Sus scrofa: one gene and its partner. The protein of the gene in region 2 purifies or fractionates together with the protein of the main gene of each other region. This does not show direct contact. Links are inferred from orthologs where the notes say so. Each region holds a gene or a part of one and is shown on either strand. Other genes may lie near its edges.

Evidence for each region. The genes of interacting proteins can lie anywhere in the genome.
Region 1: the proteins of SPDYC (region 2) and CDK2 purify together in Homo sapiens (co-immunoprecipitation; 3 studies listed by BioGRID and IntAct, with this or other methods). This does not show direct contact. The link is inferred for Sus scrofa from reciprocal best matches to the Homo sapiens genes SPDYC and CDK2.

The regions. Positions count from the first base shown.
Region 1 is NC_010447.5:21,362,395-21,370,526, reverse strand, and holds the start of CDK2 (cyclin-dependent kinase 2), read right to left. Parts: upstream 4,698-8,132; 5' UTR 4,560-4,697; coding exon 4,444-4,559; intron 3,728-4,443; coding exon 3,650-3,727; intron 3,539-3,649; coding exon 3,418-3,538; intron 2,175-3,417; coding exon 2,004-2,174; intron 1,313-2,003; coding exon 1,211-1,312; intron 513-1,210; coding exon of another isoform or gene 369-512; intron 66-368; coding exon 1-65. Other genes in the region: melanocyte protein PMEL, read left to right, coding at 5,487-5,640. UniProt on the Homo sapiens protein: Serine/threonine-protein kinase involved in the control of the cell cycle; essential for meiosis, but dispensable for mitosis. Phosphorylates CABLES1, CTNNB1, CDK2AP2, ERCC6, NBN, USP37, p53/TP53, NPM1, CDK7, RB1, BRCA2, MYC, NPAT, EZH2.
Region 2 is NC_010444.4:7,028,551-7,035,202, forward strand, and holds the end of SPDYC (speedy protein C), read right to left. Parts: intron 6,283-6,652; 5' UTR 6,195-6,282; intron 5,645-6,194; exon of another isoform or gene 5,334-5,644; 5' UTR 5,291-5,333; coding exon 5,143-5,290; intron 4,928-5,142; coding exon 4,869-4,927; intron 4,219-4,868; coding exon 4,133-4,218; intron 4,039-4,132; coding exon 3,867-4,038; intron 3,784-3,866; coding exon 3,184-3,783; 3' UTR 2,331-3,183; downstream 1-2,330. UniProt on the Homo sapiens protein: Promotes progression through the cell cycle via binding and activation of CDK1 and CDK2. Involved in the spindle-assembly checkpoint. Required for recruitment of MAD2L1, BUBR1 and BUB1 to kinetochores.

The DNA.
Region 1 (8,132 bases), on a different chromosome or scaffold from region 2:
GTCCGAAAGATCCGGAAGAGCTGGTCAATCTCAGAATCTCCAGGGAACAGAGCCCGGCGGGTCACCTGAAAATGGGGAAAGAGGAAAGGCCGAGACCCACATTGACGTCAGTCACAACTGCCCATTGGATAATGGAGGTTCCCACAGGCAGTGGAAGTTCAGCAGGGCCCCATGACTCCCTCCCCAGGGTCTTTCATGGGGTCAGTCACACAGAGCCTGAGACAATGAAGTCCCTTCATCTGTCTCCTTGCCCCCTCCTTCCTTCCCCCAACCATGGCTTTGCAGATCCCCAAGGCTGGGTGGGGCTGGGAGGGGGTGAATGTCTGGGGTGCCACTGACATGTAGCAAAGGGATCCCAAGCCACTCACGGGGTGTGGGGTAGACACTGCGGTCATCCCCCCTCCTTGTGATGCAGCCACTTCTAGATAGGAGCACAGCGGGCAGAGACTGTGTCTTCCATTTCTTCTGTGTTCCCCACAGCACCTAGCATGGTGCTGGGTACATACTAGGTGCTTAACAAATATTTTTTGATGAATTGAGAGACGAATATGGGCAATTGTAAGATAATGTACTGGGGGATAAATGCACATTATATGTATGTATATATATATATATATAGGCTAATGGTCTCCAAGCCCCCAGTTACAACCCAGATAAGGGACCATAAAACATATGGCTGATTTGATTTGAAAACTCAGCTCACTCCACTGTTGCATTAAAGGGGATGAGAGCTCCCTTACAAGACTGGGCCTTAGGGATCCTTCAATCTGAAAAGCCAGAGGTTGAGGGGGGGTATGATCTAAGCCTGCAGTTTAAAGAAGAGTTGTGAATACAGCGAACACCGTTGGCCTCACCACTGTGTTCCTAGTGCCCTACAGTAAGGTCTACAGGCCAAATAAAGGAGATGCTAAAAGGAACTCATTTTCCCAAATATAAGCAGGCTGAAGCTAAAATGGCTGCAGAAATGATTTAGCTCAGTTTGGAGATAAGACATGAATGCTGGCTGCTAGGGCTGATTGAGGCTAGCCTAACACTGTGGCAGACATTGAGGATGACAGTCCTATTCTTTCCCTACCAACCTCCTTTGTGCTACTCTAGAGGAGGGATCCTGTGATGAGAGAAGGACCATGAGCCTGGGCCAAGAAACAGTACTGTCGTTCCTGAATGTGGGGAGGAGTGGGCCAGGTGGAACTCGGGCATGCCTGCATACCATCTCAGCAAAGATGCAGCCCAGGCTCCAGATGTCCACGGCTGTAGAGTAGTATTTGCAGCCCAGAAGGATTTCAGGTGCTCTGTACCACAAAGTCACCACCTGGGGACAAGAGTAGGGAGGGGAAGGATAGTATATGGGGCATGGAGATTCCAACATCTCAGCTCCTCGACACTACGCTGCTGACTCTCAGCCTCTTAAAAGAAGCTTTTTTTCCTCCATCCTTTCCTTCCCTCTGATGTCCTCTAATAACCGGGACAGCTTCTTGTCTGTTTGTTTTTGCTTTTTAGGGCCACACCCTTGGCATATGGAGGTTCCTAGGCTAGAGGTCCAATCGGAGCTACAGCTGCTGGCCTATACCACAGCCACAGTCATGCCAAATCCTCAACCCACTGTGCAAGGCCAGGGATCAAACCCGCAACCTCATTGTTCCTAGTCGGATTTGTTTCTGCTGCACCACGATGGGAACTCCTGGGACAGCCTCTTATCCTAGAGTAGCCTAGTCCATGGTCCTTGGAACCCCAAATTTTCTGAATCCTCAATTTACAACTTTCTTGGAAGACTTGAGGCAAGCAGTCATAATTTTAATGGTGTACCATCCAGCTCTCCTAGCTTAGTATCTATCAAAATATGAAGTCTGTGCATACTCTAAGACCTCTTGGGGCATCAGAGATAACTTTCCATCTAGTGATAGAGAAACTGCTAGCCAGATATTTTTAGTAACTTTGTGAATGTCCCTGTTAACACCTCACCTCCCAAGAAATTCAGAGAAGACATGCAGAGAGGAGCTCACCTCATGGGTGTATGTACGAACAGGGACTCCAAAGGCTCTGGCCAGTCCAAAGTCTGCTAACTTGATAGATCCTTCTGCGTTGATAAGCAGATTCTGAGGTTTAAGGTCTCGGTGCAAGACCCGATGAGAATGGCAAAAAGCTAGCCCCTGAAGCAGCTGGAACAGATAACTCTGACAAGGGGAGAGAAGGGACTGTGTTTTTACACCAAAGTGAGCAAATTAGGGTCTGCTCTGTGCCTCCAGAGTTTCTACTAAAGCCTTTATTATGTTAGATTGTAATTAAACATTTACATGCTTTCTCCCATTGGACTATCAGCCCAGTGAGGATAAGGATCAGGTCTTATTCAGTTTTTTGTTTTGTTTTGTTGCTTTTTAGGGCTGCACCCTCGGCATATGGAGGTTCTCAGGCTGGGGGTCAAATCGGAGCTGTAGCTCCCAGCCTATGCCATAGGCACAGTAACACAGGATCCAAGCCACATCTGTGACTTACACCATAGCTCACGACAACGCCAGATCCTTAACCCACTGAACGAGGCCAGGGATTGAACCTGCATCCTCATGGATGCTAGTCAGATTCATTAACTGCTGAGCCATGACGGGAACTCCCTGTCTTATTCAGTTTTGCATCTCTTTTCCATATTCTGTGTCTAGCACATTGAGGGTCTTCAATAAATGTGTTGGATAAATGTTTATTGATAGATTAAAAGTAGCTCCAGGAGTAAAGAACCCAGCAAAACAGACAATAGAGACTCACTGGCTATTTCTCCCACCAATTTTTTTTTTTTTTTAAAGAATTTACCAAGTGCTCTCCAGTCCCATTTATCTGAGTTTTGTTGTTTTTTGTTTTTTGTTTTGTCTTTTTGCCTTTTCTAGGGCCGCTCCCAAGGCATATGGAGGTTCCCAGGCTAGGGGTCTAATCAGAGCTGTAGCCATGGGCCTATGCCAGAGCCACAGCAACATGGGATCCAAACCTCGTCTGCGGCCTACACCACAGCTCACAGCAATGCCGGATCCTTAACCCACTGAGCAAGGTCAGGGATCGAACCCGAAACCTCATGGTTCCTAGTTGGATTCGTTAACCACTGAGCCACGGTGGGAACTCCACCTTTTATCTGAGTTTCATCTCACCTTCCACCTGAGCTGCTAAATTGACTCACAAGAGTTTCAACTTTGATTCTTCTGCCCAGCCCTAGGGTTAATAAGCATAATGAGCGGTGAAAGAGCCATACACACACACACACACACACCACACACACACACACACACAAAAGGTATGTGTGATTGTGTTTGCATGATAGGGGGATGACGGCTGGGAATGAAGCCAAGATCACAAATCATCACTCAGTCTTAATTATCTGTCTTAAGTGCCCCCAAGACATGCCCATGTTGGGGAGGAACTGATGAGAAGGATTACCTTTATGAGGGGAAGAGGAATGCCAGTGAGAGCAGAGGCATCCATGAATTTCTTGAGATCCTGGTGCAGAAACTCAAAAACCAGGTAGAGTTTGTTTTCTGTGTGAATGACATCCAGCAACCTAGGGAAGGGGGGATGTCCAGGAACAGAGGTGAGGGAGAGAAATGTCCAGATAACACAAACAGAACACATCTTCCTTTACTGTCAGAGCACCTCCCGGATGCATACTTACTTGACAATATTAGGGTGGTTAAGCTCCTTAAGCAGAGAGATCTCTCGAATGGCAGTACTGGGTACACCCTCCGTCTCACTTGGAGAAGTTGGGAAAGCAGATGGGAATGTGGTTACAAATATTCCTTTTTCCCCAGCCCAGTCATGACCCCACCAGAGACACCACCCCAGCATCCTCTAGGGAAATGAGAGAAAAGGGGTGTCAGGGATTAATTCATGGGTGGACAGGAAGGGCTTTTGGACACATTAAGGTCATTATTTCTTCTTTTCCCAGGGGTAGATTAGCAAAGCCTCTTGGTGAAAGTGAAGAAGGTTAACTGGGGGAAAAAAGGTGGGGGTGGGGGGAGTAGCAGCACCCAGCCTCCGAGAGGGGCCAGTGAGTTTCAACTGCCATTCTTTTGAAAGGGGGAGAGAATTCTAAGATGAGGGTGGGGTTGAGACAGCGAGGAAAGTTCGTATTCAAAAAGTTGCTCTTTACCGCTTTCTACAAAACCCAACTCCACGGGGAGTCCTGGACCCCAAATCAGAGGCCTCCTTCCTCTTCCCGAGTCTTTCTGACTGTACATTTTCGGGCATCACCCGCCTTTGGAAAGGAAATTTCCCATGGACTCTACACTACCCTATATTCTCCACAAGGAAACCCTGTACTGTCCTTCAACCTACCTCTCCACTTCAAAAGAAGTCCCTCCCTACTACCTTCCGGTCCCTGGATGGCTACCCGCCTGTTGGGGTGGGGGTGGGGGGCACTCAAGGAGCTCCGGAGTTAGAGGAGTCCCAGGTACAGAGGCCACTCACGTGTCCAGGCGGATTTTTTTAAGCGCCACCACTTCTCCCGTCACCTTGTTTTTGGCTTTGTACACAACTCCGTACGTGCCCTCTCCGATCTTTTCCACTTTTTGGAAGTTCTCCATGAAGCGCTAGCGAGTCGAATCAGCCCGGCCCTGGAGCGGGGGCCTGGGAACCCAGCAGAAAGCGGCACCCAGCTCTCGGGGGCCGAGGAGGGGGAAACAGGGCCCTGCACGGCAGCCCCAGGTCGGGATGGAACGCAGCGTATCTCTCGCTCTTGTCAATTTGTCCAACTTGAAACAATGTTGCCGCCTCCCCCCGCCAGTTCCCTACCGCCACCAGAAGCCCCGCCCCTCCTTCCCGCGTTTCCCTGGCTCCGCCCCCAGATCTTCCTATTGGTTAACGTCAGAGTGGGAAGGGCCCGTCCTGCGCTCCGCCACGCCCCAAACGACCCTTCCCAGCGCAAGTTTCTGAGGTGTATTAAGTCAAGTTTTAACCTAGGTGGGAAGGTGAAATATCGTGTTCCTAGTATTTGATTTGGGCTCGAGTTTTCTACCTGTACCTTGAGTCTGTAGGGATTTCCTAATATCTAAACCGGGTTTTCACCACCCTTAGGAAAATGTGCACTGATCTAAGATTAAATTCCACCTAGCCCAGGGAACCTTCTCTGAAAAGCAGGAAGCTGGGAAGCTCCTTGCAAGGGTTTCCTGGACCTCGGAGGAGTCATTGCCTCTGTCAGCCTATCCTACACAATCTCTGTTTTTGGATGCAGGGTTGCTGTTTCTACAGTCTTTTTGACAGGTTTCTGGTTTGACTCACAATAGATTGATCCACTCTCCCATGATGGATTGTGTGTGTAGGGTACGTGTTATGCTATGTTGCTGCCCTTCAGTCAATTCTTTGGGCGGGGGAGTGTTGAGAGTGACCCTGTGAAGCCAGAAACTGTCACTGCGTAGCAAGATGTCCAGGGACCAGGATCCCTCCCCAGTTCTGCCTTTCTCAGGTCCTCCTCCTCCTCCCAGGCCTCCTCTGGAGGGAAAGGGGGAAGGGCTATGCAAATGAGCACCCCTTTCTTATATAGGGGCTTGTCCTTTGCCCCAGTGCCTTTGGTTGCTGGAAGGAAGAATACCATGGATCTGGTGCTCAGAAAATGCCTTCTCCATGTGGCTGTGATGGGTGCCTTTCTGGCTGTGGGGGCCACAGAAGGTGAGTATGGGGAGTGTAGACATGAGCAAGTGTGAATTTGGGGTTGCACACCTGCTCTGCTTTTCCCCTCCCTAATGGGAAATACCAGCAATGCCTCAGACTTCTCCCTCCCATTTGATTTAGTGAGGACATGGGCACATGAACTCTCTCTCCACATGGAGATTTGGGACTGAGCCTAAAAATAATCCCATCTGCTTGGAAGGGCAAGAGAAGAGTGGGTCTTTGTGGCCCTAATTCTGAGACCCGTGGACAGTGAGCTGGAGCAGGGGATCCAAGGGGATAAAATGAGAGGGAGACTCTTTTAGGCAATGTCTCAGGCACTTGAGATAGAGTATTTCCAACGAGGAACAAGAGAATGTGGTATTGAATAGAGGGTAAAGAGGTACCACATTTCCTCTTTGGGATGGGCATGGGCAAACACAGGCTTTTGTTCTGGGGCTGGAAGTCAGGCAGAGGGGTCTCAGCTGAGCATCACATGAAAGGGCTCTGGGGGATTGTGGCCTCGTGACAGGAGCGAGGGGTGGGGGTGGGAGTGGTGAGAGGGTCTGGAATGTCCCGTGCTGCTCTGAGGAAGGGAGGGTTGGAAGTGGACAAAGAATGGGGCATCTTATGATTCTCTTGCTCTAGTTGTGGGATGCTCAGTGGGATGATTCCAGGTCTCCCCCAGCAGAATCGACCAGATTTCTGGTACATGTTAGAAATGGAGTTAGGATAGTTTCTGGCATGCTGAAATATCTACATCGAATCCTAATCTACCACTTTCTCTAGACCCCTGGTCTCATAGACTTCTAGGAACTTCTTCTTGATCTGACTTCATACTTGGTGCAGTTTCAAGTCTTTTTCTTTTACTATGTTCCTTATTGTACTCTAGACACATTCTGTTTGTAAATGTCCACCTGAGGTTCTTAAAAATATTGTGCTTTTTGGAAAATTTTTTTTTTTTTTTTTTTTTTTTTGTCTCTTTAGGGCTGTGTCAGCAGCATATGGAGGTTCCCAGGCTATGGGTTGAATCGGAGCTGTAGCTGCTGGCCTACACCACAGCCATAGCTATTCGGAATCCAAGCCACATTTGCGACCTACACCACAGCTCACAGCAACGCCTGATCCCCTAATTTTTTTTTAAGTCATAAGAAGACATTTCTAGATATTCATGAAATTTCAAATGGATGGGTTTGGTAACTTTGTTATGAACTAACATTGTGTTTCCTCAAGAAAATATTCAGGCGTTCCTATTGTGGCTCAGCGGTTATGAACTGGACCAGTATCCATGAGAATTCGGGTTTGATCCTTGGTCTTGCTCAGTGGGTTAAGTATTCGGCATTGGCACGAGCTCTCGTGTAGGTCAGACGCAGCTCAGATCCAGTGTTGCTGTGGCAACTGCAACTGATTCCACCCCTAGCCTGGGAACTTCCATATGCTGTGGGTGTGGCCCTAAGAAGCAAAAAAAAAAAAAATCTTTTTGCAGATACATACTGAATTTGTAGGGTTTAAAATAACATGATGTTGGGAGTTCCCATTGTGGCTCAGCGGTAACTAACCCAACTAGTTACCATGAGGATGCAGGTTCTATCCCTGGCCTCACTCAGCTCTGGTGTAAGTTGCAGATGCAGCTCGGATTGCTGTGGCTGTGGCATAGGCAGGCAGCTGCAGCTCCCATTTGACCCCTAGCCTGGGAACTTGCATATGCTGCAGATGCAGTCCTAGAATGAAAGAAAAAATAACATCATGTGTGGGATTTGCTTTTAAGTACTTTAGCCCGAAACAAAACAAAACAGGAGTTTCTGTCTTGGCTCAGTGGTTAATGAATCCAACCAGGAACCATGAGGTTTTGGATTCCATCCCTGGCCTCGCTCAGTGGGTTAAGGATCTGGCGTTGCCATGAACTGTGGTGTAGGTCGAAGACACGGCTCGGATCCCGCATTGCTGTGGCTGTGGGGTAGGCCAGTGGCTACAGCTCCAATTAGACCCCCAGCCTGGGACTCTCCATATGCCGAAGGTGTGGTCCTAGAAAAGACAAAACCAAAACAAACAAACAAAAACAAAACACAACAAAGGACTGATAAAGCAAATGTGGCGAAATGCTGATTGTTGTTGGATCTGGGTGAGGCATATGGAGATCCATCATATCCCTTTTTTTCAGACCTCTCAATCAGTTGTAATAATTCGTTTGCCCCCATCCCCAATTTCCACCTCCCTCTGATCCACCTTCCTGTTTGCCATAGTGATCCTTCTAAAACACAAATCTACAAATCTGATCATGATCAAAAGCTTTTGCAGGGTGAATTTTATGGTATTTTTATTTATTTTTATTTTTTTTTTTTAGGGCCACACCCGTGGCATATGGAACGTCCCAGGCTAGGGGTCTAATTGGAGCTATAGCTGTGGGCCTACACCACAGCCATAGCAATGCCAGATCCGAGCCACATCTGCAACCTACACCACAGCTCACGGCAGCACTGGATCCTTAACCCACTGAGTGAGGCCAGGGATCA
Region 2 (6,652 bases):
AATATACTACACTAATGCAAGATGTCGCGAAAAAAGTGTGTGCCGGCAGACAGGATACGGAAAGTCTCTACCCTCTCTGAGCAATTTTTTTGTAAACCTAAAACTGCCCTAAAAAACAGTCTATCTTGGGAGTTCCCATTGTGGCTCAGTGGTTAATGAATCGGACTAGGAACCACGAGGTTGCGGGTTCGATCCCTGGCCTTGCTCAGTGGATGAAGGATCCCGCGTTGCTGTGAGCTGTGGTGCAGGTCGCAGACAGGGCTCAGAACCCAAGTGGCTGTGGCTGTGGCTGTGGCTGTGGCGTAGGCCACCAGCTGCAGTTCCGATTCGACCCCTAGCTTGGGAACCTCCATATGCTGCAGGTGCAGCCCTAAAAAGACAGGGGGGAAAAAAAGTCTATCTTAAAAATAGAAAAGTAAATATACACCTATCATATGACCCAGCTGTTTCACTTTTAGGCATTTACTCAAGGGAAATAAAAGCATATATCCACACAAAGACCTGTGTATACGGATTCATAGCAGTTTTCATTGTAACAACCAAAACTAGAAACAATCAAATGTTCGTTAACAAATTGTGAATTGATAAGCAAATTATGGGGTGTGCTCATGTGCGTGCGTGCGCACATGCGTGATAGAATACTTCTCAGCAATAAGAAGGAAAATTGCAGATGGAGCGCAGAATAATTATTCTGAGTGTAAAAAGCCAGACAGAAGTACATTCTTTTAATTCCATTTCTATGGACATCTAGGAAAAGGACAGCAATTTAGTGTCAGAAAGCAAATCAGTGATTGCCTGGGGTGGGCTGGCAGGTGGGAAGGAGGGGAGGGATGACAAAGGGGCTTGAGGAGACTTTGGGGGGTGATGGATTTGTTCATTATCTTAATCATAATAATGGTTTTACAGGGGTATACGTGTCAAAACAAAAATGTGCATTTTAGGAGTTCCGTCGTGGCTCAGCGGTGAACAAACCCGACTAAGATCCATGAGGACTTGGGTTTGATTCCTGGCCTTGCTCAGTGGGTTAGGGATCTGGCATTGCTGTGGCTGTGGTGTAGGGCAATGGCTACAGCTCCAATTCCACCTTTAGCCTGGGCATTCCATATGCCATGGGGCAGCCAGAAAAGAAAAAAAAAAAAAATGCCAAGTGACCCACACTCTTGTCTAACCCAAGTACAAATTTGGAGGTGCCCTCCACCCCCTTCTCAGGCTTGACAATTCAGTATTAGACTTCAGAACACAGGAAAGCTCTTTACTTACTGTTTCCATTTTATTGTAAAGGCTACAACTCAGGAGCAATCAAATGGAAGAGATTCTTGGGGCAGGGCCTGGGGGGAGGGGTGCAGAGCTCCCCAAAATCGCCCTCTAAAACTCCAAAGATCCCTGCCCCACCCCTCCTGGAGGAAGTGGGGAAGCTTAAAGTTCCCAGCTCCTGGATCAGTTTTCCGGGTGACAGCCCCCACCCTGAGTGGCCTCATTAGCATAAACTCTGAGATCCCGAGGCGCTCATTATGAATAACAGAAGACACTCCTAGACCTCCGGAAATTCCAAGGGTTTTGGGAACTCCGTGCCAGGAACCAGGGACAAAGACCAAATATATATAAGTATATGTATATGTCTTTTTTATTGTTACACATTCAGTTATGTCGGTTTAGATTCTCTTTCTGGAAGGACATAAGTTAGTACTTGCGTTGCTTCTAGGGAGGGGAACCGGGTGGCCGGGAGTCAGGAGTAGGAGGGGACTCCTCGTACAAAATTCACAATATACACGTGAATAGATTACCTATTTGAAAAGCTCTTAAAAACACTTTACAGTCCTTGCCTTGGCCTCTAAGGTGTGCAATCTCTAGGCTTTACTTCCGTGGTTCTGGGGAGCAGGCAGGGGAATCACTGTCCAGACGCCGGGGCTACCTGACCCTTTCGACCTCTCGTCTTCAGTTGTGGCCACTCCCCATACAAACCCGCCCCTCTAGCCTTTCTCTGGGCAGCCTTTCCTCTACTACCGGTAACACCCACATCTGAGCTCTATTCCTGAGTCGAGTAGTTCTACACCCTCCAAGGATTAGCTCATTCAAACCTCCGACCTCCCTTTTAGTGTAATCCCCATTGGACTGATAAAGCCATCCCTGTAGAGGAGATTAAGTGACAGCTAAAAGTCTCACAGAAACCTGAACTTTGAATATCAGCTGTCTGGCACCAGAGACTAAGTCTTTTTCTTTTTTTTTCCACATCTTTTTAGGGCCACACCTGCGGCATATGGAGGTTCCCAGACTAGGGGTCGAGTCTGAACTGTAGCCACTGGCTTATGCCACAGCCACATCAACTCAGGATCTGAGCCACAGCTCACGGCAACACCAGATCCTTAACTCACTGAACGAGGCCAGGGCACGAACCCGTGTCCTCATGGATGCTAGTCAGATTTGTTTCCGCTGAGCCACGATGGGAACTCCAACCAGAGACTAAGTTTTAATCACCACTCCAGACTGCCTTTCAAGAATCCTGTGCCTCATCTCTGCCACCCCAGCATGGGCACTCTTGACCTTGTTCAAGGCCCAATGCAAATGCCAGCTCTTCTGGAGGTCTTCCTGCTCCCTGGTTAATGAACTACTTACTTGGGGTGGGGGACTTGGTATTATAATAATCCCATCATATTTGATTGTAGCCCAGAGCAAGCACTAAGGTTCTTCCTAAATAGACCTGGCCCTGCAGGCTTTTCTAGACTGACTGTGGAGCCATTCTCCTTGTGAGGTTTTTTGGTCCAGCAGGCTCCAGGCCCTCTTCTGCGTATACCTCATCTCATTTTGTGCCATCTACACTGTGTGAATCCAGCATCCACATGGGTATTAAAGAGGGAGATGGAGGCTCAGAATGACTGGTCACCAGTGGGAGGGGAAGAGCTCTCACAGGGCCTGTGTTCATGGGTCTCAACCACGGGTAGCTGAACCTGGTAGACCCCCTCTCCCCATAACTCCCTATGCCCACCCTGGGCTGAGGACCCAGACCAGGGCCTGAGCCTAAGCACAGCTGGTGTCCTGTGGACATGAGTTTATTAGAGGAGCCAGGTCACAGTGGGTACAGGTGGCAGGTTGGGAGGAGAGGGCCGCGGAGCATGGGCAGTCCTGCCAGCCTGAGGCCAAGAAGACTGGAGGAGGCTGGGGCGCGGGGCCACGGCCAGTAGAACATCAGGTCAGCAGGCTGTTCTTCACCCTTGGAGTGTCAGCGCCGAGGGCACAGCAGCGGCTTTGAGAGGACTGGGGGGGAGAAGGGCAGAGGCTCAGAGGACGCTTGCCAAGCTCACATGCTAGGAGGTGGCAGAGCTGGGTCACGTGCCCAGGCCTGCTGGACCCCGGGCCCCATGTCCCTCCTTCCCATTCTGTTGGGCCCCACACCTGCCTCCCAGCTCCCAGCCCCAGCTCACTGCGGAGGGTGTAGGTGCCTGGCTCCAGTCGCAGCTGGGTGGGCAGGACAATGAGGAAGCCCCCGCCCCATTGGTCTTCAGCCACTGAGACGCTAGCTTGGAAGGGAGGGCGGCGCTGCCCAGGGTTTGGGGAAGGGCATTTGGATGAGACAGGCAAGGGGCGGGACTGGTGGCAGCAGTGGTGGGGGGGGTGGCAGCAGTGGCTGCATTGAGGAGGCACGCCACAGAGGGGACAGTGGGGTGGTGAGAGGCCTGGGCCCCGGGGGAGGGGGATCTGGGCCTTCGGGTAGCTCCTTTGAGCCCTGCCGTGGTGGGGGCGCCGCTCCCGTGTCCAGGCCCAGTGGGTTGGCTCCTTGGTCATGACCTGGCATGAGAAGAATGGATGGTAAATGGGAGGGGGGAGGTCCAGCCTCTTTGCCCCACCCCAGGATGCTGGCAGGGCCTCACCTCCTCGCAGCTCTGGCGGCTCACAAAGGCCCTGAAGCCCATGCGTGCCCACAGCTTGGTCCTTTGCTGCAGGAAGTATGACACTCGATGATGCCAATCTCGGCCCAGGGCCCAGGGAAAAATCACACATTTGGGGTCCTCCAGGTCTTCTTCCATGTCATTTGCAAGGTACCTGGCCGCAGTGTGAACAGAGGCCGTAAGCATCTGTTCTGCCCCACCCTACAAATTCTGGGTGAATGACCCCACCTGGTGCCCAGGCCACTCACAGTGCCAGGAACAGATTGCTGAGGGTGTACTCGCTGAGCTTCAGGTTGGCACGTCGGAAGTAGACCAGCACCATGGCCAGGAGATACTGCAGATGCAGAAATGGGGAGAGTTAGGAGTTCCCTTTGTGGCTCAGTGGTTAACCAATCCGACTAGGAACCATGAGGTTGCGGGTTCGATCCCTGGCCTTGCTCAATGGGTTAAGGATCCAGCATTGTCGTAAGCTGTGGTGTAGGTCGCAGACGCAGCTTGGATCTGGCATTGCTGTGGCCTCTGGCGCAGGCCGGCAGCTGTAGCTCCGATTAGACCCCTAGCCTGGGAACCTCCATATGCCTCGGGTGCAGCCCTGGAAAAGACAAAAACAAAGACAACATAAAAGGGTAATAATTTTCTGCTGGGCACATAGGTTGGGGTCAGTTTGAAGCTTAATTGGAAAACTGGCAAAACTATAGAAGAGAAATTCAAAAAAAAAAGAAAGAAAGAAGGAAATGGGAAGAGTTAGAGTTAGGCCCTGGGGGTGGGGGTGTGCCAGGCCTGTCTGCACCCAAGGGAGTTCTGGGGAGGGGGGGAGAGAAAATCCAGGTTAAATGGTGGGAAGGAGCCTGTAAAGACAAGGGTTTAAAAGGGAGGCGCTCCCCCTCCAGACCAGGGGATCCAATGAATTAGCAGCACTCAAGCCCCACTGATTCCAGCTTCCCCCAAGGACGCCTGGCCTCTACCCGCCCTGTGGCCTCTCACCTTATCTGAAATCTGGAAACAGGGATCTTTGGAGAGGAAATCCTGGAGGTAACTGTGCTCTGGGGGTAGAGAAGAGGAAAGTGGCTGGGGGTTGCCATCCACCCCCAACAGGACAAGAGTGGCATCAGAAGTGGCAAAGCCCAAGCCTCCACTTTCCGACCTGACACCATCCCTCCACCTGCCAAACCAGGTCACGGCTGAGAAGGGAAGGGACAGAGACTGTTCACCCTCGGTCCCCACCACCCCTTCGCCGCTGGCCCCCAAGTGGACTCACCCAGAAGGCTGAGGAAGGCCTGGAGTTGCTGGTGCTGGTGGAAATGGAAAGACTCTCTGCCCTCATCTTGACTGCTCCGGCCCCTCAGCTTCACCTGGGTGCCAACCGCAGGGACAGGGACTGTGGCAGGATCTTGGGCGTCACTCATCTCATGAGTCGGGGAGTGGGGAGGTGGGGGGAGGCAGAGTGACCTGTAGAGAAAGCACCCCAGGACGTAGCACCTACCCTATTGCCCCTCACCAGTCAAGAGCATCAGTGTGGCTGGCCTGACAGAGGGCCTCCAGAAAGTGGAGGGACGGGCACAGAGGACTGGGGGTTCAGAGCAGAAGGGAAGTGAGATGGGGGAGGTCAGAAAAGCAGAATTCCTGGAGGCTGCAGCAGACTGTCCCCCCCCCGCTTCCTGGTACCCCAGACCAGCCCAAAGAGTAACAACAGCAGCAACAAGCCCGGCCTAAGTGCCTGGAGCTGTGTTAAATGCTTTAATGACATTATCTTATTTCATCCTGGCAGGTAGACTCATTTTGCAAACACAGAAGCTGAAGCATGGAGGTCTTAGGGCCACTTCAAGGCGGAGCCTGTCTGAGCCCCAAAGCCAAGGAGTAACAGCTTCTTTTGCCTCCCAACTCACAAGGAGGCGCCCTCTCCCCGGCTCCAAAGCCTCAGCCGCCAAAGAACTACCAACCTCTTGACTTCGCAGAGGGAAAATTGAGGCCTTGAGAGAGGAACGTTATTAAGCAAATACTGGGGTTGAGGGCAAGTTGAGGTAGGGCCACGGAAAACATTTTGAGCTACGAAGAGAGAGATGCCAACTATGGAACTCAGAGGACGGTCCCCTCCTCCACCCCTTGGTCAACCGGGGTGGGGGGCGCGCTCCATCTAAGTTCCCACAAGCAGCCCAGCTTGCCTTACCTGAGCTCAGGAGTTACCTACAGCGTTGCGTCCCAACCCAGCGAGTGTATTTATATAGCCCTAGAGCTGCCCCGCCCCCGGAGCGCTCCACCAATCAGGCGCCTTCTTGGGAAAGGGTGGGGCTTCTCGCCATCACCACCCACCTCTACTAGGAGTAAATCCAGTTAGTCTCCACCGCTTGCTTCCCAGCTGCAGCTCCGCAAGGTAAAAGCTTCTCCATAGTCTCATCACCTACAAGAGGGGTGAAGGCAGGCCAGCTGGACCCCAAGGCCCGAAAGGAGGCAGGGGCCCCTCTCTTCTCTTTACAAATTCAGAGCCAAGGTGCGGGCAGGGAAGGAGGACCGACCCAGGGCTGTAGGCAGTGGCTGATGAATAAGTTACAACTCAGTGATTGTGTCTTGCTGGGGAAGGGTCACTGGTGGTGTCTGTTTCAGATCCAGGAATCCCCAAACCTGGGAGCCAGAGTGAAAACTGTCTGCATAAGGACTCGTAGGGGCCGCATCTGCTCTCCAAGGTCCTTAGGTGTTTGGGGAGCCCTGCCAGTGGCTCCAGGTGGGGAAGGAAATCTGCTTCTGGTCCTGGCTGGGATGCCCAAGGACCA